Daphnia pulex: one gene and its partner. The protein of the gene in region 1 purifies or fractionates together with the protein of each later gene. This does not show direct contact. Links are inferred from orthologs where the notes say so. Each region holds a gene or a part of one and is shown in the gene's direction. Other genes may lie near its edges. The genes, in order: vang-like protein 2 and segment polarity protein dishevelled homolog DVL-3-like.

Evidence for each region.
Region 2: the proteins of vang-like protein 2 (region 1) and segment polarity protein dishevelled homolog DVL-3-like purify together in Drosophila melanogaster (affinity purification with western blotting; 3 studies listed by BioGRID). This does not show direct contact. The link is inferred for Daphnia pulex from reciprocal best matches to the Drosophila melanogaster genes Vang and dsh.

What each region holds. Positions count from the first base shown.
Region 1 is NC_060018.1:12,086,744-12,091,129, forward strand, and holds the start of vang-like protein 2, read left to right. Parts: upstream 1-1,383; 5' UTR 1,384-2,040; intron 2,041-4,386.
Region 2 is NC_060018.1:12,878,394-12,882,986, reverse strand, and holds the start of segment polarity protein dishevelled homolog DVL-3-like, read left to right. Parts: upstream 1-1,713; 5' UTR 1,714-1,931; coding exon 1,932-2,092; intron 2,093-2,224; coding exon 2,225-2,294; intron 2,295-2,363; coding exon 2,364-2,452; intron 2,453-2,520; coding exon 2,521-2,600; intron 2,601-2,716; coding exon 2,717-2,785; intron 2,786-2,892; coding exon 2,893-3,039; intron 3,040-3,103; coding exon 3,104-3,341; intron 3,342-3,410; coding exon 3,411-3,539; intron 3,540-3,611; coding exon 3,612-3,739; coding exon of another isoform or gene 3,740-3,799; coding exon 3,800-3,889; intron 3,890-3,949; coding exon 3,950-4,255; intron 4,256-4,323; coding exon 4,324-4,581; intron 4,582-4,593.

The sequences.
Region 1 (4,386 bases):
TGTAGCCAGCGAAACGTGTACGTATATACTGTGTAGCTTGGGAGTCTAGTGGTCGATCCTTTTGTTGTTGTGTGTGTGTCCGGCAGTTTGAAAAAATAAAAAAAATTTCGGGGGGAAAAAATCGGAAGACTCACAAATGTCCCTCAAGCTGAGAGATAGATCCAAAACGTAATGAAATATCCTTCCGGAATGTTGCGTATATATAAGCCAAGCCAAAAAAAGAGAATGGAAAAATTTAATTTTTGGAATATTTTTTGATTCGCTTGTTATCTCGACGGAAATTCTTGTCATTCCAATTTATTTCAAGTTAACGTTGATCCCTTTTTATATTTGATTTAGAACGCAGAAGAATGTCTGTGTGTAAAACTAGGAGCTAAATTCATTATTCTTTGTTTATAATAACTATAAAATACAATAACCGGTGTTGAAAGAAATATTTGGGGTGAAATTGACATCATCTTTTATATCTATCGATAAACAGGTATAACCTTGATGTTAAATGGACGTTCAACTCCTGCGTCAATGATGCGGTTTTCATCACATAGAAAAGCTGCGGTCAGCATCTCTCAAATTCTATTGTGTTTAAAGATATTAAAAAGGTGGGGAGCTGTATAGTTTCCACTGTCTCTCTCTCCTTCATCTAATTCCATTTAATGATTTGGTGTTGTATAGAAAAAATAAAACCAAGAGCCTTATATACTATTATCCAATTCGGATCTGGATGGACGGTGAACCGGACAGGCTCAACTCGAGCGGAACGGACGTATATATATTTAGTGAGACCTGAACTGTGTGTTTCTCTATTACAAGGCCGATAAGAAAAATTTAAAAATATAAAATGGTACACGAAAAAATATAAGCGGATTCGATTTCTCAGAAAAATTGATTATCTCCACTTCAATTGTTTTTTTTTTTGTTTTTATTTTTTTTAAATGTCATTTTTATTCATCCGGAGAAACAAATTTATCCTTTCACCGGTCACGCAATGGTGTGTTTTTACTCGTGATATTTATTTTCGGCTTGACGCCAAGTGTCCGTCTATGAATGTACACACACACACACAGAGAATCTAGTAGAGTGGATATAGTCCGTCTATCCTTTTTTCTTTTCCTTTTCTTTTACGGTTGCAGTTGTGTTTTTCGGGGGTGCCAAAGACCCGACGAGAGTGCTGGAACCCCAGCTAGCACGACTGGGAAAAATAAAAACCCACCAATAGGAACCGCATTGCCACAGGGTACGTTCTTCCATCTTTCTCTCTTTCTCTCCTTTTTTAACCATTCTTTCATTCTCTTTCGTTTCTTTTCATTCCCCCCCCCCTTCTCTCTCCCTTTCCCCGTGTATATATAAATATATGTACTATATATAAAAATACAAAAAAGAGCTGGAAGAAGAAGAAGAAGAAGAAGAAGAAGAGTATGGCGTGGCTTTATCGTGCCGGAGCAGCTCAGTCGAGTGTGGACGCTTAGCCGCAACAGCAGCAGCTACCAGGAGCAGCAGCAACCAACCAACAATTTTTATTATTTTGTTCGTGTGATTGTGTGTGTGTGTGTGTCTGTGTAGATTTTTATTTATTTTTTTTTTTTCCGGTGTACTCGGAGAAGATCTGGAAGAAATTTCTAAGAAATAGAAGAAGAAAAAAAGTGTCGATCTACTACTACACATGAGTGTCGTCTGCAGCAGTGAATCGCTTATATTTCCAGGGAATAATAAGATCAGAGACGATTCCCAGGGATTTCCATTATGGATTATCTGCTTACAAAGTTGTGATTTATTCGTGCGCGTTGTATATGGATTATTATTATTAGACACAATCGATCCGTCCGAAAAAAAAGTCCAGCAGTGCGCACCCCAGCACCGGTGCTGTAGATTGAAATCAGACACCGGAGAGAAAAAACAACTTCAACAGCAGCAGCGACTATTGTGTGTGTGTGGATGTAATTGCACATCATCATCCTGTTTTTCTTTAAGACACCAGCAGCAGCAGCAGAGCGAGGCCGGAACAAACTCCTACACATTTTGAAATCAAATTAAAATATAAAGGTGAGTGTTTTTTTATTTTATTTTTCTTCTTCTAAAATAGTAGAAGAAAGAAAGAAACGCTATTTGTCCAACGGCTGTCCAGCAGCAGCAACACCAAACATTTTTCTTTTTTGGCATTCTAATCCCGGTGACAAGATATTTTTATTATTATATTATTTCTGGCCCGGTGTTTATAATCCTTGCGGCCGTAGTACGGGGATAGCACAAGGTCCCCTTGGCGAATGAAAAGAGAAATGATATAAAAGGACAACACACGACGACGGGAAAAAAAGGAAAAAAATGTTTGAATAGAAAAGATGAAAAGTTACGGCATTTCTTTAATGTCTTCTTTTTCGTCGTCGTTCGTCGTTCGTCGGACGGTAGAAAAATAAAATAAATTTGTTTTTTTCTGCGCAAATCTAAACTGGCTTAAAACGTCTAAATTTGGAGATAAGGCGACTAAATAATAGCTGGAACGATTCGACTGGAGAAATTTTATTTTTTTGAAATGAGAGCAGGTTGAATATAATAATAAAATAGATCTGGTTTTGATTCCATTCGATATATGTTCCATCTGTTTTGTTTTAACAAATAAATGCAGACCGGTAGGGATGAGATGTCGCTGTTAAGTATTCGTGACCCGACGCGGATTGTTTCGAAGGGAAAACAAAACAAAACAAAAATCAAAAAATCTCATTAGTAAGATCTGGTCCCGCCAAGTTTTGAAAAACAAAAAAATCTACAAGGCGACATGGCTAAATGGAATTAAAATCAAAAGGGAAACTAAAAACTGGAAATTCGAGATTTGGTCCTTTTTTGTTTGAAATCTTATTGGAGGGGAAAAGGATATCATCGGGGAGGAGAGGATAGATTAATATATTATTGAGACAAGAAAAAAGAAAAACAGAAAAACCGGTCGATTTATAATGGCTGAACTTGTTTTTTCCTTGACGAAAAAAGAAAATAAAGGGAAAATAAATAACCCATCCTTGTTTGGATTAAAAGAAGAAAGAAAAAAAGTCATTCGGCAGGTTTAGACGTTGTCGTCGTATATATTTTTGTCTTCTTCCAAAATAAAAAATTCGTACTAAAAAAAAGGGGGCTCCGCCCTTATTTATTTTACGCGTAGATAAGAAAAACGTCAGATATTGAAATCTTTTTCTTCTTTCATAATGGCATATCCATTTTCTTGCTTCGTTCTTTCTGCTTTGACGAGAGAGAGACCAATTACACGAATATTTCACCCTGGCCAATCATCCGATACACCCAAAATGGGATGGACGAAAAAATATCTATGCACAAATGAGCTCATTAAATAGACTGAACAGTTTCCCAATATGTCGGAACAGATGGATCCCAAAACCAACCAACCAAAATTCCTTTTTTCTGCCATCAATCGTCTGTGTTATATACCGACAAGAAGATTATCCAGTAACAGGATAAATATATATATAGATTAATTATACCACTCAAGAGATTTATTAGACTCAACTAAATATCTAATACACACAGCGTCCCAGCAGCAGCAGCAGCTCTTGACCAAATATTATGACACCCGTGCTGTTATAGACTCGTGACATTCTCCAACTGGCCCCGGCAACTATATCGAGAGAGATGTTTATCGTAAGAAAAAAGTAAATTCTCAAGTAGTAGCCCATAGCGGAGTCGTAAATAAGTCGGCGCCAAAATTTGAAAAATAATAAAAATTTTTAAAAAGTTCTTCTTTGCGGTTGTATTAGATATATTTTCGGTGGGTTGAAATCTATCAATCTCAACTTTGATGAAAACGAGGGTTGAAAAAACTCGATCTCTTTAGATAAAACAGGAAGAAGCTCTTCTCCCCCTCTTTTCTTCTGCTGGGATGTTAAATAGTAAAATAGAAGAAGGTAATATAATGATGCGGTATGGCAACAGTGGCGGTTCTCCTTGGTTGTCTTGCTGCTGGGCCATTCACCTGTTGTTGTTGGGGGATACCAGAAGAAGAAGAAGAAGAACCGGAGGAACTTGAAAATGTTGAATTTTTTTGGCCCTCAGCTTCCCTCCAGGCTACACCTGGTTCTCCCTTTTCCTTCATTCTTCCTTTTCTTCTTCTTCTTCATTCCATTCGGTTTCAGGGAGGGGGGAACTGTTGCGCGACCGTTTTCTTCTTTTATTACACCCACAAGAAACCTTCTTCTTCTTCTTCTTCTTCTCTTACCTGTTGAGAGAAAAACAAAAGACGGTCTCGAATATGTCTGGCCGATTCGTCGTTCTTTTTTTCTTTCTCCGGCAGCCAACAACAACAACCAACAACATTTTTTCTTTTTCTTCACCAAGACCGCCCGCGCTTAAATGTTGTTTTTCGCGCTCTTCATTTATTTTTTTCAA
Region 2 (4,593 bases), about 790 kb from region 1:
GGCAATCGAGAAGAAAAAAAAAAGCAAACTTTTGCGTGAACTCATTAGACAAATGCTCACTACAATCAAACCATCTCATGATTGAAACTTTGCACGTTTGCAAAAAAATGCTGCCAATGCTGGTGAGTGGTGGCAGACGAACTTCAGTGAGAACTGGCTACTAGTGATGTTTCGTTAACGATAACGGATAACGTGAAAAGTCCGTTAACGGACCTTTTTTGGGGTTCGTTAACTTAACGGATAACGCTAACGTTTGGCATTTTTCAGACGTTATTTTCAGACGTTATTTTTGTTTTTAACAGCGCTGCCAAATATGAAATTTTTGGATTTTTCAAAATGAAATTTGTATTTTTTGCGCGCTTCCAACATTTTACTGTAGTAGGTTGACTATGAAAACGAATTTAAATAGCCAATGACAGTGAGCAGTAGTCTTCTTAGCTTCTCTGAGGTTTTTTTTTGCTTTCAAAACGTGGCAAACGAAACTGTATAAGTAGAGTAGGGAAACAACTAGAATCAGAGTGTAAATCTTTAATGTCAGATTCAGACTCTGATGCTCCTGTTGACGGTGAATAAGCGTGGCATCTGCGATGTTAGAAGATCTCGAAAGAAGATTTAATTTCATGACAGATTAAAGAGATCCTGATTTCGACTGCTCCTACCTTCTAGCCACTTCCCTCGACTGCATTGAAACTGAACTTTTAGACAACTTCCACTTTGCAAGTCATGAATTTGATCCTTCTAAGGATCCACCAGTTCAAGATGTGATCTCTTACTGGAAGGATTTGTCTGGTCGTTTCCCCTAATTATCCAAAATGGCCTATAATTTACTGGTTATACCAGTTTCTTCGGCATCATCTGAACGCGAATTTTCCATTGCCGGATGGCACTGTCTAGGACACAAAAATAGGACGGCGGAAGAAGTTTTGGCCGCAAAAGTCTTCCTCACTTGCAATAAGGATTTATTGAGGCCTTTACTTTTTTAGTTGGAACTTGTTTTTTTTTCTTTTGTCTGTGCGTTTATTTAATCCGCAGTTTCTGTTTTTTTTAGTTGATCATTGCTTCATTGTGACATTGTTCAACGCCAGCAGCAATTTAAATATAAGTAATCAAGACCGTGACTGATTTCAGTGATTTGATAGTGCAATTTTTTTATTAAATAACGGTAAAAATAACGTCGAATTTTCGTTAACGGAGACATTTTTAACGGCGTTAATTAACGGCGTTAACGAACGTGAAAAAATGAGACATCGTTAACTTAACGGATAACGCTAACGTTTAGAAAAAGCACTAACGAAACATCACTACTGGCTACTAGCTTGCTGCCCTTTTGCCATGATACCACAACCTAAAAGCAATCGAAAATTTAAGGAATCTTTACAGCTTACATGATAACCAAAGCTAGAATACATATTAATTATTATTTTATGAATAAATATTAATATATATTATATTATATTACTATGGATACGATAGTAAGATCACCAATTCACCATGATTAATGATTATTGTATTATTAATATATCACGGCCGTTAGCGAGTTATTCAACGTTATATGCTATTTTATTTTTTTAAATGAAACAAAAATCACGAACAACAGCCCTTTTTGAAGATCCCCCCTTTTTGCCAGATTTGAATTTGAAGCAAGTAGTGTGCAGTGTGAGCAGTAGATGGCTACGCTGTGGATAGCGGGTCGGAAAAACCATCTGTCGGCTGACGTTAATATTTTTTGGGAAAACCGGGACGCCCAATTGGAGGCTCACAAGACTTTAAGCCTCGCCATATTGAACAGCCTGAGGGAAAGGGGAAAAGTCTGTATTCACTATTCAGTCCTCTTCATGTTGCGCAGATAGTAACTTTTGACGCCCTACCCGTTTTTGTAATCTTGTCAAAACGATTGGTTTGTTGTCGTTGACTCTTGACGCAGTTTCCTAATGGCGGAAACAAAGATTATTTACCACATTGACGAAGAAGAAACTCCCTATCTTGTTAAACTTACAATATCTCCCGATCAAGTTACCCTAGCCGATTTCAAGAATGTTCTCAATCGTCCAAATTACAAATTTTTCTTCAAATCAATGGACGACGATTTCGGGTAAAACCAGTTTTTCTCGTTTTTTTTTTGTTGTTGTCAAGTGGCAATAACGTGTTACATGATAATTGTCCATGTAGTTATTTTTTTATGCAAGTGTAAGCATTGTTTTCTCTTTATTGTTTATGTTTCTAGTGTTGTCAAGGAAGAAATTGTTGATGACGATGCTCACCTTCCATGTTTCAATGGAAGAGTCATATCATGGGTAAACGTAACAAGTTAAATTATATTGATGAATATTTTAAGATGTCTTAATGTTTCTTTCACTTTGTAGCTAGTATCAGCTGAAAGTAGCATTTCAGACTCTGTATCTCAATGTGCTGAGAGTACTGCCACTACTGATGGGAGACCACCGTCTTTCCAGTGAGTTTTTTCTTTACAAATTTTCACTGCTTGTAAAGTTTGGTAATTAACTCGTCATTTGATTTTAGCCCTGGCCATAACAGAAGTATGGCTGAGGAATACACAACAGCTACTGAGACAGAATCGGTCATTAGTTCAAGACACAGTGGTAAACTTTATTTCCTTATGCTGTATTTTTATGTTTATGTGTTTACCTTTGTCCTGTTGCATCTCATTTTTCGTTATCTTCTGCAATTCTTTTGTTCTTTATGTTTTGCCATGAAGAGAGGCACATATTGCCCCGCTCTGGCCGTGTGCATCGTGAAACTTATGAAAAATATGATCGCTTTGATGGTGAGTTTGTTAGCATGGCTTTTTTTGTAGATTGTTGCTTCACTAAATTTTCATGTAGAATGTCTTATCTTACTATATATTCGATTAACATCCGATTGTCTCTTTAGTTCAAGCTCCTCGAAATGGCCACAACGCTATGAGACACAGAGCTGGACACGAATATGAATCCTCTTCTATGATCAGCTCGGATTTAGAGTCGACCAGCTTCGTTGACTCTGAAGAAGATGCATCTTCACGTATCACAACGACCACGGGTATTAAGCAAAGTTATAATAACTCTGGATTTATTGAAAATTTTGCATATTTTGAAATTTGCAGATCACACTAGTGTGTCTCGCCAAGGTCGCAATCGGAGACGTAATCGTCGCCGTCCCCGCCTCCCTCCTCTTTCATCTCGAGCTTCATCATTCTCCAGTATCACGGATTCCACTATGTCACTCAACATAATCACTGTCACCCTCAACATGGACACAGTCAACTTTTTAGGAATTTCCATCGTCGGCCAGAGTCATCAAGGTGGTGATGGTGGAATTTACGTAGGATCCATAATGAAAGGGTATAAACACAGATGAACCTGACATATTTCTTGTGGTAATTTCAAATGAAAATCATTGCTATTATTTAGTGGGGCTGTCGCTTTGGATGGTCGAATCGAGCCTGGTGACATGATCCTTCAAGTCAATGATATTAACTTTGAAAATATGTCAAATGACGATGCCGTTCGCGTTTTACGAGAAGTTGTCCAGAAACCTGGGTAAGCATAACTGTTTTTTTTGTTTTCCAACTTAACATTTAGTACATTGTGTTTTTTATTTGCATGTGTCAGCCCAATCAAACTTGTAGTCGCCAAGTGTTGGGATCCTAATCCAAAAGGATATTTCACTATACCCCGTACGGAACCTGTTCGCCCTATTGATCCCGGTGCGTGGGTTGCTCACACGGAAGCAGCAAGAGGTGATTGTCGTATTTTAAATCATAAATTGGCATCCAACAACAAATCTAACGTCATATTAGGTGGAACGCAGTACCCGAATCGTCCGCCATCTGTGGCGACGATGTCGTCAACCACCACAACAATGATGTCGAGTATGCCAGAAACCGAACGTAAGTTGTCACGTAGAAAATGTACCGAAAGAACTTTTGACTAAGTACTACTTGTCACAGGTCCAGTTGAAGAAGCCCAACCGCTTTCAGTGCGCTCAGACATGCTCGCAATTGTGCGAGCGATGGCGCGCCCAGATTCCGGACTTGAAGTTAGAGATCGCCTTTGGTTAAAAATTGTAATTCCAAGTGCGTTTATTGGATCAGAAGTGGTCGACTGGCTTCACAATCGCGTGCAAGGACTAGAAGAGCGGCGTGATGCCCGCAAGTTGGCTTCCCAGCTTCTGCGAAACGGTTACATCAGACATACAGTAAACAAGTACACATTCTCTGAACAATGTTACTACGTGTTCGGAGACCTGTGTTTGGGTGAGTTGACATTTGAGACTTATCGGGTTATAGAATATTTTGTTTGATGAAAGGGTTTTATCTTGTAGGTGTTTCGGCTCTTCGCCTGACTGATGACACGACATCGGAAGCCGATAGAGACACGCTCGCACCGTTGCCGTTGCCGACTCCTTGGGGTAGTGGGCCTGGTGCTACAGGAGCCGGTGGGGCTACCCCTCACATACCTTATTATCCAACCGGTTATGCGCCCATGCCTTACAGCTACAGCAGTGATCCCCTCGGATCGGCGCCTGTACAAAGTACTACATTTACGTATGGAAGAGAAGGCAGCGTTCACAGTGGTTCAGGTAACCCTCCAA